2 linked regions of the Alligator mississippiensis genome follow. The protein of the gene in region 2 interacts with the protein of the main gene of each other region in a pairwise test. Links are inferred from orthologs where the notes say so. Each region holds a gene or a part of one and is shown on either strand. Other genes may lie near its edges.

Evidence for each region.
Region 1: the proteins of AMOT (region 2) and PTPA interact in binary tests that used the Homo sapiens proteins (3 or more experiments, as listed by UniProt). The two-hybrid records come from large-scale screens. The link is inferred for Alligator mississippiensis from reciprocal best matches to the Homo sapiens genes AMOT and PTPA.

Annotation. Positions count from the first base shown.
Region 1 is NC_081835.1:58,229,127-58,236,560, reverse strand, and holds the start of PTPA (serine/threonine-protein phosphatase 2A activator), read right to left. Parts: upstream 3,062-7,434; 5' UTR 2,944-3,061; coding exon 2,919-2,943; intron 829-2,918; coding exon 728-828; intron 1-727. Other genes in the region: CRAT (carnitine O-acetyltransferase), read left to right, coding at 3,670-3,696. UniProt on the Homo sapiens protein: PPIases accelerate the folding of proteins. It catalyzes the cis-trans isomerization of proline imidic peptide bonds in oligopeptides. Acts as a regulatory subunit for serine/threonine-protein phosphatase 2A (PP2A).
Region 2 is NC_081831.1:66,324,382-66,331,391, reverse strand, and holds the start of AMOT (angiomotin), read right to left. Parts: upstream 3,022-7,010; 5' UTR 2,917-3,021; intron 1-2,916.

The DNA of each region.
Region 1 (7,434 bases), on a different chromosome or scaffold from region 2:
CTTTCAGCTTCCAGGGCTAGACTAAAAGGTATTCTTTAACATGGTTAGAAAGTATCAGAGGTGACAATTAACACCATCTTCCTCAGCTTTGTGGTGGGGTCACATAGACAACACAATGTTCTATGAAGGATGGCCCAAAATCATGCTTTATATGGATTCTTTACCACTGTGGACAGAGCCCCAGCCCTATCCATTGCTGAGGGCAACCTTGGGATCTTGTCCCAGTATGGGAAGAACCAATACGTTATTCTTCTCTTCCAAGCTCTTAGCCCTTACACACTCTACAGAATTGTCTGTAGAGTCAAACCAGAATACTACTGGTATTCACCACCAGCAGTAGCAAAGGCAAGAGCTCTACTACAGACAGGGTTTGGGCATTTCACTATCCACACTGCAGAACAGTGAACACTCCTACACCCCACTATCAGTCCCAGGGGTTGAATTACAGGCCATACAGAGTGGACAGGACCTGCTGTCATCACAAACAACTGCCCAGGTAGGTACTTCTGTTATCCACAATCTCCTACTGCTGTCACCTAAAGACCACTGGAGGAAGCTACATTTATTACAATTCCCAAAACATTAGTCACAGTCCCCTTTTGATTTTAAAAGTCATTATTTCCAGCAGCTTGACCCAACCCTGCTCAACCTGTTACAGTTGGCCTGGTTTGTCCTACACAAATGCCAACACTGAGACACTTCAGGAACATAGAACCCAGATCCATACCTGAGAGCGCTTCCACTTGGCCATATCAGAAACCATGTTTATCTCCTTTTTAGGGATCATGAAGCTCTGCTGGAGGGGAGAGACTGCCTCCTCAGAGGAGCCTGGAAGAGGGAAGAGAGAGAGGTCAAATAGAATGCAAAACAGAATACAACTCCTTCTGGCCTCAGCTCCTTTTCTGAAGTCAAGGCTCGTTTCTCTAGACACAAAAAATGACAACTCATCCCCACTGTGCCAGCTCTCACAAGCTGAGCCAAGCCAAGACCAGACTCTCCAGTCCTTTGACAGCATACTGCCAAGGGACACAGCCCTGCCACAGAAAATAGTGATAGGCTTTGAACCACTACAAAAAAACGTTTTCTATTGAGATGACTAATGGCATAAAACCTTTGTGCAGGCAGCTTAATTAGCTATAGTTAATTGAGCTAAACCCCAGCTGAGAGGTAGCAGATTGGCCTCTAATACCTGTGTCTGGTCACAAGGGTTTTACATCAAGTTAACTACCCCAAAGGCATCTTTTACAATGAAGACAAAACCTAAGTGATTCAGTAGGTGGCACTCTTTACTCTGAAATGGGATGAAGCCAGCATCCCCAAGACCGCACAAGAAGGCCTCTTGGATGCTAGAGATGCTGTTTCAGGTGAGAACAATATTCTCTATAAAGTGCATTGAGCTGCTAGGATGGCACGCATGATATGAATGCAAATCAGTAACACATAAGATCAGCATGACACTGCTCCAGGCCCCCAGTACACAGCCAACTTTTTTCATTAGCTGGGAAACATGTTCCCCATCCTCCCTTCCTCACTTGAAAAAAAGAAAAAGAAAGGAAGCTGTCCTGAACACCAGGGTTATTGCTTTCCAAGCCCCACCACAGTCCAAGGCTCACAACTGGCTCCAGTCTCACTCTGCAGTCCCACATGTGGCAGCGTTTCTAGCTCTGCAGTGGCCTCAAGGTTAAAGGCACAGTCGCATCACATTTCTACGACCAAACTTTATCATCAGGATGCAGTGCAGCAAACAACAATTAATCAAGAAACTAAAGGTATATTTAGCATGAAGCTACCATCCCTTTGTTCATTATTTTAATCTTAGAAGAGTCCAAACTTTTTTCCAGCAACATTTTAATAATCATTCTTAGCGCTACCTGCAAACTGTAAGCACCAATTCTGTACTAAGCCCCAAAATTTGAACTGCCGAAAAACTGTAATCACTAAACTTCATTTGCACAGACAAATCTGCTCAGAAACGTTCATCGGCTCCTTCCTCTCTTCACTGACAATGCACAGCTCTCCAGGAATCGCACCAGACGACCCACAACTCCTTCAAGCTCTGCCAGACTTACCACGCGACTCCAGGGACATCATTCAGCTGGTCTGTGCCTTAGTTTCCCTACAAAACAATCCCACTGCCCCTCACTAGCACGATGCAAGAAACAGTTAATGCATGTTTGTAAAATACTATGAAAGCCCTGGATAGCAAGACACAATTTAGGAGGAATTAAAAACAGATGTACCCTGAACTGCTGCAGCTGATCCAGCTGACAATTAGGCAGCATCACATTACCATAAAGTGGGTTTTTAAATAATGCTCTATATTCATGGATGCAAAGAGCAGCAACCTCAATAGACCTCCAGAGTACTGATAAAGGAAAAAAGAAACCACTGTGAACAGCTATAAAGACAGATCGCGGGGAACAGGGAAGAGTCAGAGACATCCCTGCCGAAGGGCCGAGGCACCCGTCTGGGATTCAGGCCTCCCGGTCCCTTCGGGCAAGTCATTTCATCTCTCGGCGTCTGTGTACCGTGCCTCCTGCACGCTCAAACATCTGGATGCGCACACATGCGTGTACACATGGACACAGACATGCGTGGACACACGCACGCCCATGCACACCCCTCGTCTGCCCAAAACACAAGGTCTTTGGACAAAAGCTCCCTCATGACGCAGGCGGCCCGGCACCAAGAGCCAAGGGGAAGGGGCCGGTGGGGGGGGAGGGCAGGGGGGTATTTTGTGACGAGAACAGCCCTTGAGGAAGGAGACGCTGCCACCCCCCACCCCCCCGGCCGGGGGGCTCTCTCGGGCAGCAGCAAACCTCGGCCCTCCCAGCGCCACCGGACGAATTTGATTTGCGTCTTTTGCGTCCCCCAAGTGACCCCCGCGCCCCACCGGGACCCGCAGGCTCTGCCCTCACCTGTCTGCCGCTCGCTCTCTGCCATCTTCCTGGAGCCGGGCCACCGCCGTTATCACCCCCCACCTCTCACCTCTGCCCTCCCGACACGCACCCGGAGAGCAGTCCGGCGGCCATCTTTGGGAAGGGCACGTCGTCTGTCCCATAAGAGATTGCCATGTTGGCGCGGAGCATGCCGGGCGCCGCCGCTGCTAGCGCGGCCATGTTTGTACCGGGCAACACCCGCGAGCGGGCATGTAGGAACAACTCGCGATCCTTCAAGCGACCGAGAATTCGGGAGCGGCCGGAGGGGTTTCTCCTCCCCCCGTGTCAGGATGGGCCCACCCGCGAGCCCGGACTCCAGCAGTTCCCCGCCTCGCCCCCCGTGCGCTCAGAGTCACCGCTGCCCGCTCGGGAGACATCAGCAGCGACGCATGCAGCAGTGCACCCCAAAACCGGCCTGCCCTTCCCTTAGGGCAGAGAGCGGGGAGGTGGGGCAATGCCCCTCACAAAGATGGCAGCGGCGCCGCTCAGAGTGAAAGCCCGCCCCTCACAAACATGGCAGGGCGCTAGCTCATTGGTCAGTGCGGGGGGATGCCCCGCAGAAAGATGGTGCCCCTTCCATACACTAGGTAGGACATTGCCCCGCACAAAGATGGCGGGAGTGCCGGCCCCTCCCAGCTGCTGAAGTTACCCTGGAAGTTGCTGCCTGTCCCTGCCTTTGCGGCGCGGGACCGGGACGCGGCCGAGTTGGGGTCTGCTGCAGGCAGGAGCTATGCTGGCCTTCCTAGCCAGGAGCCTGGTAAGTGCAGCTGCCCCTGCCCCGCCATGGGGCTGTTATTGCACCGCGGAGGCAGGAGGGAACCAGCGTTGCCAGGTTTTAAACATGAAATGATCATGGCAAGTTCAAAATTATCGTATTTGCTGGAGAAAAAAGAAATCGTACGCTGATAAATATGCAAATAAGCCTGCAACTAAGTCTTCTTCTGGTTTACTTTCTCTTGCTCACTTGAGCTGCCCAGTGAGAACTGGGTCACAGGAGTGGACGTGTTTCTTTATTTGGAGGCCGGCGGTCACACAAAGGCCGTGCATGCAAGCAGTGTAACAGGACTGCTGTAGTTTAACTGTCAGAGTCTGTTTTAATTGGCCAAGTGAACCGCAGTGCTCACTTGACAGGTTGCTAGAGGTAGTTATATATGTATTATACATATTTTTGCAAAAAAAGACAAAAAGGAAGCAAACCCAAAAGTCAGTTAAGGCTCCCGGAGAGTGACTTGGGTTTTGCACATTAGCTGCCTCCAAAATTAGCGTGTATTTTGAACACTCTTACTGTTATAGATCGTACAAGGGTTGAAATGATTGCACAAATACAATAATGATGGTACACCTGGCAACGCTGGAGGGAAGCCACAGAGAGCGATGCACTACCCTGCCCCAGGGGAGGCATGGGGAGAAGGGCTTTGGCCTTTCTGGGCCGTTATAATGGGATTTGCGGGCTGAGGTCAAGCACTGCGAGCAGAGCAGGATGTGGAGGAGCAGGGCTAGCTCAGCTCGGGGCAGGTGGGTGGCGGGGGAAGCTGCACCCAGGGCCAGGTCGGGCCGTGAGTAGACTTTGCCTCGTGGCGGAGTGCCAGGCGCAGGCTACCTTTCCCTTTCCCTTGCCAACAGAGCTTTGGGCGTTTGCCCTGCGGCACGTGAACCTCCTGCCCAGAGACAGGTGGCCAATGGAGTCATTCTCCGGGGTGGGCAGGCCTGGGCGAGGCTCTCTGTGTCAGGCTGATTAGGAATCACCCTCGCCCAGAGCTGCTTTGCTGTGCCAGGAATAGCAGTGTAGATCTCTGCTTGGGTCCCAACACGCACTTTTCTCTGGACTCTCCCCTCTTGTCCTGGTATCCCCAGATCCCTGTTATAGGTGCCATGAAGGGGAGCAGCAAGGCAGGCCGGCTTCTCTCTGGGAGGCTGCCACAGGTGCTGGTGTGCACGGGCCCACCAGGCTCTGTGGCTGTCAAAGCTGGTGCCCTCAGGGGTAGTAGCCTCCCTGTCTGTGTAGACGAGGGGGTTTCCTCCATTACGACTGTGTAGTTGCTGTGTGTCTGCACCAGGCCAGAGACATGGGCTGTCATCAGAGATCCACTGCAGCAGTGAAAATGTCCATCAGAAACAGGCAAGCAATTAGCCCATTTCCAATCTGGACAAAGGGGGCCGCTGCTGACAATCACTCTTGGTGCAAGCTCAATGTTGTAGGGTAGCCAAGGTCCTAGGGCACCAGTTTCCTGTAGAAGCTTTTACAATAGCACTTCCCCTGCTGTCAGAGAAGATTTCACACATGCTGCTGCCCATGAGACTGGTCAAACCCAGTTGCCCAGAGGATGTTCTTGGCAGTAGCAGCGACTGGGGAAAGGAGAGCTGCAGAATGGGTCTTTATTCTCTTCCTGAACAGATGGTCTGTTCTCCCCATGCTGTAGTTTGTCCCAGGACACTCGGGGTTTGGCTCTTCAGTTTTACCCTTTACAACCAACCTCCCTATCTGACAGTCTGCATGTGGCTGAGTGTGTGTGTCAGACATCACACAAAACTTTCTTGTGACTCCAGGCCCATGTACTCTGCTGTGTGAAGTCCTGAATAGGCAGGGGGCAGCAAGTCCCCAGGGCAAAGTGCAGTAATCTGCACATCACAGGTCCAAGGGAATCAATAAAACAAACCCTTTGGCAAACTAATACATATTACTAGTCATGCCATGACCCTAACAGGGCAATGGTGTCCTGTAGCTTAGCTGGAGTGCAATTTGGCACAAACACCAAGCTGCAAGGTGAGCCAGGCCATCCAAACAAAAGTGCAGAGCATCCCCTGTGTGTGAGGAGCTGTCCCCATTTCCCATGGGGACGGGAGAGCCAGGAGTCAGCTGCCTTCTGACAACTCCTATGGTCAGACTTGCTCACTAGTATCCCAGCACTCACCCAGTAGTTACTACTCTGGAACAAGCAAACAAAAGCTGCTGGAGATAAAAACCTAAAAAAGTAATGCTGGGAGTGGGGGTGGGAGCTTCATAGTTTGGGTTTTTATCCTTCACAGTATAGTCCATGAGGATTTTTTTCCATTTGAAAACAAGCAAACAAAATAGCGTGTTGTCCCAAACAGCTCATTGCTCATGGTGATATTTCTTAATGGAACATTGCTACAAATATGTCCATGTGGCTTTGATTTAATTCAGAGGTGGGCGAAATACAGTCTGCAGGCTATATCCAGCCTGCCAGTTGATCCTATCCTGCCCACCAGCTTCCACCAAGAGTGTGAGGAGGGAGGGCTGCACTTTGTACTGCTCCGCTCTGCTTCACCTGAGGTCAGACCAAGCCGTGCAGTGCACAGCCTCCTCCACCCCCGACTTTCCTGGTATGGTACGAAGGCGGCAGCTCATCTCAGTAGGTGGGCAGGACACCTGCTTGGCATGCTGCATCATGCCCTGTCCCGTGCAGGCCTAGCTGTTGATAGCCATGGTGCCAGGATTGCGTAGCACCAACAGAAAATCGGGGGGGGGGGTGCTTGATGCAGGGGGTAGAGGAGTCTGTGCATTGCATGGCCCAGGCCCTCAATGCGGATGCAGCCCCGCTTCCTCAGGCTCCTGGTGGCAGCCAGAGGGCTGGATAGGATCAATTGGTATCACCCTGCCTTTCCACCCCCGTCCCTCAACAGCTCACCAAAACTCATTAAGTGGCCCTCCAGCCCAAATAATTGCCCTCCCCTGGTTTAATTGCATCTAGTTACACAGCCATCCTCAAGGCTGCAGGGATGCTAATATTCTTGTTGCCTGCGGTGTTATCATTGTGGGTCTACTGCCAAGAGCCTAGCATTCAGGATACGCAGCCTGACAATCATGAATCTGGCTTGCCTATGTCTTTGGGGATTGGTCACAGGACGTGGCCTTTTGTCTGCAGGCTACTGATTCAGATTTGGCCCACACACTGAATTCATATGTCCACCTAATGACCATTTGATCAATCTGGACGCAGGTTGTCTGACTGGTTATTGCTGGACTTTGGCCCACGTGAGACACTGCAGCCACTGTAGTTAGCAGTCTGTGCAGAAAGGCTACATTCCTCTGCCACCACTAGAAGCCTTCCCTCCACCTCAGTTTTTATGAAGAGGCTTCTGCTACTGCCCGCTACCCATGGTGTGTGCTTTCTTGTGTGTGGACAAATCTCTTCTGCCTCTGGGAGCATCGGTCTGGCACCAACCCTGCAATGAAGAGCAAAACTCTCTGATTGCAGGTGATGGAGTAAAGGACCTGGGAGCTCTGGCAGCCACAGAGGGGTTGGAGACATGCCAGACAATACTGATACTGGCTGGGAGGTGGCTTGGCACCTCTGCAACTACAATGTATGGTTTTGTGTTTTCTTGACAGAATAGAGCAGTCAGAGAGCAAAGGTTGCTAAAGTATACAACTCCGTGTGTGTGCTAGAACAGGGTAAGATTAGAGAGGAAGCCTGAGGCAGAGACAGAGAGGCTTACAGGGTTTTCCTTCTTCCAGCGATGGATAGGAATC
Region 2 (7,010 bases):
AGAGCTGGAAGTTGCTCCTAGTCTGATGAATGTAAAGTAGGGGTGCACTGATAGAGATTTTGGGGACCAATACTAATAGCCGATTTTTAAGGAGACATATTGACCAATACTGATCCGATTTCTGATACAGCTGCATGCAGCTGATAAGTCATTTGTGATGGATGGGGATGGAGGAGAGAAGGGACATGGGGTGGGGGGGAGGGCAGATCAAGGCCCCACAGTGAGGGAGGGAGTGGGGCAGGGGCTTGGGTAGGCACTACCCAGCCGGGGTGGGGTGGGGCACTGGACGGAGCCATGGCTCATCCGGGAGACACAGGGTAGGGGGTGGCTCCCACAGCTGCACGCACCCCAGAAAGGTATGGGGTCATGTGCCCCTGGATCTGTATGGGAGGGCTGCAGCTGTGGGCTGGGGCTACACCAGGCTCTTCCCAGCATGTGGTGGGAGGGTTGGGCCAGGGCTGCACTTGGGGTGGGTGGTGGCAACACTGGGAGGGAGTTATGGGGGGCTGCAGCCACCCCAAATTTCACTGTACCCCCCTCCCAGCACCACAGCTGCCCATCCTAAGCACAGCCTCGAGGACAGCCCCAAGCACAGCCTCCATGCACTGGGAGCACAGCCCCCACAAACCAGGAAGAGCCCGGTGCATCCCCCAGCCCACAGCTACAGCATACCTTGCCTCCCACCCCCGTGCAGAACCGGGGGCATACGCACTCCCCATGCCCTCCCAGGGTGCACACCACGGTGGGAGTCTCCTTCCTCCCTGCATCCCCCGGACAAGCTGCAGCTCCATCCCACACCCTGTCCCTGCTCCTGCCCCTGCCCCGCCCCACTCCCTCCCTCCATCACCGTTGGGGTGTTGATCTGCTTCTCCCCACACCCCTTCCCTCCCCTGTCCCCGTCCACCACAACAGACTTACCAGCTGCACACAGGTCTCCAAGCTGCCGGGCTGTACTCCTAGCTGCCTGCGTGCTGCTCTGCGACTGCATGCATGCACGGGCATTTACTGGCCACATTATTGGCTGCATCAGCCTGATTTCCAATACAATCCATTTTCTTTATATTGGTGCCAATCCAATATTAGATCAATGTATTGGTGCACCTCTAATGTAAAGGGCTTGTAAGGACTGAAGAAACCGAGCAGAATCTTGGTGTAGATGCTACAGGGTTTGAGGACTAGGATGACCTAACACCTTCCCAAAGACTCTGGAGGACTCAGGAAGAGGAAAGAAGGGCAGCTGCCTTCTCTGAAATACATTCCCTGTGGGGGTGGTGCAGGTATCTACCCTGGAGATCTTCAAAAGGAGACTGGAAGCTCACCTTGCTGAGTTATTTGACCCCAGCAGTTTGTCCTGCCTAGAGCAGGGGGTTGGACCTAATGATCTCACAAGGTCCCTTCCAGCCCTAAACTTCTGTGAATCTTTAGACTTGAGAGGGGAGGGAGAGAAAAGGATGCATCCTCCATCTGGACTGTGGGAGATGGAGGAAGAAAGGGGAGCTGCATAACCTCAGTATTGCTCAGTGCTTTAAGGCAAGACAACACTTTCTCCACTCTCCCATTCTTGTCCATGTACTGTAGAGTTCATGAATAGTCCACAGTCCTGCTGAGAGGCAGGGAAGGATTATCACCTCTGTAGAGATGAAAAACTAAGGAGGCACAGAGGAGAGGGAAGCAAATTGTCCTAGGTCACAAAAGGAATCTGTGACAAACCTGGTAGTGAACCCAGGTTACCAGGACCCTGATCCAGTGCCTCAGCCACTGAGCTATCCTCCCAGCCATGAACAACATGTGCCTCCTGAGGCTGGGGGAGCACGGCGACTGCCCACAGGCAGCAGTGGTGGTGTTGGCGGTGGTGTCAACGGCAGGTGCATGGCAGTGGCGAGTGGGGACCGCCTGCAGGTGGCTGTGGTGACATCGGTGGCAAGGGCGGGCCGAGCAAGGACCGTCCGCAGGTGGTTGTGGCAGTGTCGGTGGTGAGCGAGGGGGGCTGGTGAGCAGTGACCACCTGCAGATGCCAGCGGCAGTGTCAGCAGCGGCCAATCTCAGGAGGGGCGTGTGCCCCCCCTGTACCCTTCCTATGCATCACCTGTGCTCCCAGCCCATTTTTATCTCTGGCCTCTAGGCTGTGAGTGTGGAGGGTGAGCGGGCAAGAGGGACAGGGGTGCCTTTCTGTGGACACAGGGAGAGAAATATGGTGAGGGAAATATGGCTCTTCTCTGGCCACGTAGGCTGGGAAGGAGTGGGCGAGAGCCTGCATCCCTCTAGACTCTGGTGGCAGGGACAGAAAAGGAACCAAGTGGCAAGGCTCTCTCTGAAATGCAGGGGGTAAGAGGTGGGCAGGGCTGTGCAGGGGGGAGCAGGGAAGCACATATCTCTCTGGGGACCTGATGGAGGGGGAGGGCAGGGCAGGGCTGCTCTGTCTGGGGTGAGGAGGAGGGCACCGCACTCCCACTCCAGGTTCTGTGGGGAGGGGAGGAAACCAGCAGGGCTTTCTTCTCCCCATGGGAGGTAGCAGCACATTCCTGTCTCAGCAAAAGCTTTGGAGATTAAAGCCCGGGAAAGGGAGAAGGGGGAGGAGAATGACTGAGTGGCTGCATCCACCATCCCCAGCCCTCTCCCCTTGTGTGAGTGGACACAAAGTAGTTCAAAGGGCAGCAGCAGAGAGCCAGGCAGCGCCTTCTTCCTTCCCCCTGCGCTGCTGGGGGCTGCTCCCCGGCTGCACCTGCAGCCTCCCCCTGCCTCTGAGCCCGCAGCATGCCCCATGCATAACAAACCAGCAGTGCAATCAGCCCAGCAGGCAGGCAGAGGATGTCTGCCAAGGCAGCGGCTGGACAGAGCCAGGTACAGTGCAGCCAAGCATCAGGGAGACCCTCTCCTGCCCTCCGCACCCCACAGGGCAGTGCCCTGGCTCCTTACCCCATGGGCCCTTGCCCCAGCAGCATCCCATTCATCCATCTTGAGCCTCTTCCCCTGGAGGTGACAAAGGCAGCATAACAATGAGAGACACCGAGGAGCTCTGGGAACTGCCTACCCCAGATTCAGTTATTAACTTTCATCAGGCAGCTCCGACTAGGACTCCCAGAAGAGCTCGGTGCGAGCCTGCACCGCACGGCCTGCTGGGAACTGTAGTTCTCAGCTGCACCACAAGCTGTTTCCATCTCAGCCCTGGCTGTGCGGTGGGGCTCGGGGGTCCAGGCCAGGTCCTAATGGATCAAAAATGGGCCAGGTCCTAATGGGTTAAAAACAACCAGGTGCTGGGGTTTTTATGCACAAAGAGCAGCCTTATTACTTGGAATGATTTATGTCAGAGTAACAGAGAGGTCACCAAAGCACGGTGCATGAGACAATTGTTTAGGTCTTCCTGGGGAGCTGGCAACTCCCTTGGTGCTGGCTCTGCTCCTTTCCAGCTGTTACATCCATGTTAAGGACCAAGATTTTAAATGCCATCCTGTAACATCCCTATTCCCTGCAGTAGTTGCACCGGGGAATGGGAGGGGTGCTGGTGATGAGAAACTGCTGGTTAAAGCAAACCTCAGATGATGGACGTGTTTGAGGCGCTAAGGAGGGAAATAAAGTGAGAAATGGGAAAGGACAGTGTGAGCTCTCATGTCTGTCTACTCTATAACCTGCTGACTGGAATATGGCTGCTGCCACTGCAGTTTCCTAAAGGTGTAATGCAGGGCTAATGATATTTTAAGAACTGCACACTTCCCATATCACAGCCCCGGCAGATGACAATATTTGGCCTCTTTGATGGTGGACTCATCAGAGGACAGTAAGGACTGTACAGGTCAGGTTCTCACTTCTAAAGGTGCTTAACCAAGTCACGGGTGACCCGTGTGCACACAGTTGATGCAGTACTGATGTTACCCATGACTGGAGACAGGTACTTAGCCCTGTTAGTCTGAGGTCAGGCAGAAAGCCTTCTACTTGTGATCTTTCGTTGTTAGTGTGACATTGCTTTGCACGGTGCTTTATACACAGAGAGACATGCCCTACCGTTGGCAATGCGTAGGGGGTGCACACAAGTGCACATGCACCCCCTGACAGAAGCACAACTGACACTGCCAGCGGGGCCTGCGGGCGGTCACCGCTCACCACCCCCCACCTTGCCACCTACACCGCCGGTGGCATCTGCAGGTGGTCACTGCTGCCAACAGCGTCTGCAGGTGGTCACCGACCACTGTTCAGTGCTCGCCCTCCCCGCCTGGTCTGCTCCACTGCCAACACTGCCATGGCTGCCTGAGGGAGCTCCCCGCTTGTCACTGCTATGCCCCCGCTGCCGTCACTGCCGCCTGCAGGCAGTCGTCGTGCCCCCCCAACCTCCAGGGGCACATGCCTTTCATGTCAATAATCTAATATATTTATAAATATAAAAACATGGACATTTCTTTCCACTGTAATGGGCTGGACATTTCTAGAGAGACTCGGGGAGGAAGGTGCTGACACTTCTGCCCTGATGGAGTTTGGTTTGTACACTTAAATGGTTTTCATAGGTTTAGTTTTTCGTTGATGGTATAGCATAAATGAAAGAATTCACTCTAAGTTGGTGTGAACGCAGCACCGAAGGCTAAGACTAAAATAATACAGTAGCCTTTTCAAGACTTTTATTTTAAAATATTGGCTAACTCCCAACAGCAAGGACTGCAGTTCTTCCTCTTTATTTATTTTGTTTGGTGGTTTCTATTGTTAAATATAGGCTGCACAAAATACCTTCCACAGCTCGTGATCTTTTTTTGGCACCCCATACGTTAATACAGATCTTCTATAGGATTATTTATATAGAGTTATATGTATTTCATGTTTAATGGTACTGAGCTATCATTTCCTCCCAAGCATATTCTAAATAAATATAATTAAAACATAAAAGGATGATGATTCATATCTAAAGGAATGTCATCATGAAGTGTACAGGGGTCATCTAGAACTGATACAAATCCAGCAGAGTATAAGAGGTTGTCATCAAAGGGACCTAATCCAGGTATTTATAAATATGTAACTACATATTTATAGATATTTATAAATATCTAACTACAGTGATATCTATGTGCTAAAACACTAATAAGGCTTGCCAAAAGTTTCAAATGTCTGGGACCTCTTACCTACCAATGTAATTAAATGCTGATAATGAAGTGGATATCTTTCATGTTCTCATGTTGGACCATTTCTCTATTTTGTTCTTCGGTGAGGCTGCATGGGTATCTTTTCCTCTGTTGTAGGATGGCCTACATAGAAGAAGATCTCAAATCAAAATCTAGGCACAGCGAGGTTTCAGAACTCTCAGGAGAGTGAGTTTCACAGGCTTGAATACTATAGCAATTAGATAAGCTAGACAGATACAGAAACGTTTTAAATTGTGCTGAACAAACTTTAAGAATGAGATGACAAAATGCTCTCACACTAAAAATCATTGCTTATGGGTGTTCCAGCCACGCTGAAGTTTTGACTGATTTTTCGAGAGGTGGCTTTGATGAAGAAAAAATATGTTTTTAGTGTTTAATGGCCACACACTGACCTTTCACTGTAAATACCAAGAAGGCAGCCACATCAGAAATGTTTGTTGTTACTCCATGGGAATCCAGGACATAGAAGTGCAAGAGTGACACTCCAATGAATTGTGCTGTCATTAGGCCTCACTCACCCGGCAGACAAGAAAGACTTGGTATAAATCCTGGTGGGGTATTTGTTTTTATAGTATTAGATTTTCAAAATCCATCGTCTTTCTGTGGATCACAGACTTGCTCCTTTCTTTACCTCTGCAGTGCTGCTGTGGGAGGTCTGCATCCCAGCCTACAAAACATGAATAATAGCTAAAAGCAAGCCCAGCAAATGTCTACATGGCTCCTGCTTGGTCTGGGCACCTGGGAGATTGAGGACGAGGAAAAACATGGTAGTTTAATTATTTCAAATTTATTTATCATTCTTCTCCCTGGATTCAGTAGACAATTCTATTTATTTATTTAAAAATTCAATCTGAATGTATATTTTCCCTGCTGCCTAGTACAAAGCCCATTGTCAGTGTCACAGTCACCACCTGTGAAAGGATAGTAAGTCTTGGTGACTGGGTGATTCCTGGCCTCTGGCTGTGGAAAGGTTTAGCTCACTCCCTCCTCCAAGAGAGACTCCTCCTGCCCTTGCTTAGTCTTTCCTGCCATGACTTTGATGGAAAATTTATAGGCGGTGATGTCTGGTCTGAGAACAGTCAATCCTTGAGCAGGGACAGTACCAAGAATGATCCCAGTCTCGTGCAGCACTGTGTCCTTCAGGACCAGCCAACTGATCTTAAGGGCCAAATTTTGAGAGCTCCTCCAGCCCCCTACACTCCTGCCTCATACCTCTGGTGATTTAATTACTTTAAGTCCTATCTTCACCCAGCCTTGTTGCTGTAGGTGCCAGATTTAGTTCCTGGGATACCCAAGAGTCTGTCCCTTATAAGGATAATTAAAAGTAAGCAGTTCAGCTACTCCTCACCTGTCCAATGCTTGGCTCGCTTCAGTGTCTGTTCACTGCCTAGCCTTAGTTCCTGGGGCTTCTTGGGCTCTCCTGCCAGCTTTCTGCTCCGATCAGGTGTGATCTTGGCTGCACAGCTTAGGCTTCTGATCCCTATGGAGGAAACGACCAAGACTTGATCAGCTGACTCCCGGCTTGGGTGCAGAACTAGGTGAAGAGATCTGGCCCTTCCCTTTCTCTGGACGATGACTCACGTCAATGTGGATCTCTGGCTTCAGTCTCTCTCCCTGTGAGTCTTCCCAGTTCAACTGGGTCTGGGTGAGGTACTGACCCCAGCTATCCTGATTCCGCGCTGGTTTGAGCATGTCAGATGGGTCGCAAATTGGCTGGAGGGCCACACCCAGAGAGTGGTGGTGGATGGGTCTTTTTTGATCTGGAGGGATGTGGGAAGTGGGATCCCCCAGGGCTCGGTCCTCGGACCTGCGCTGTTCAACATCTTCATTAGTGACTTGGATGAGGGGGTGAAAAGCACCTTGTTCAAATTCACGGATGACACTAAA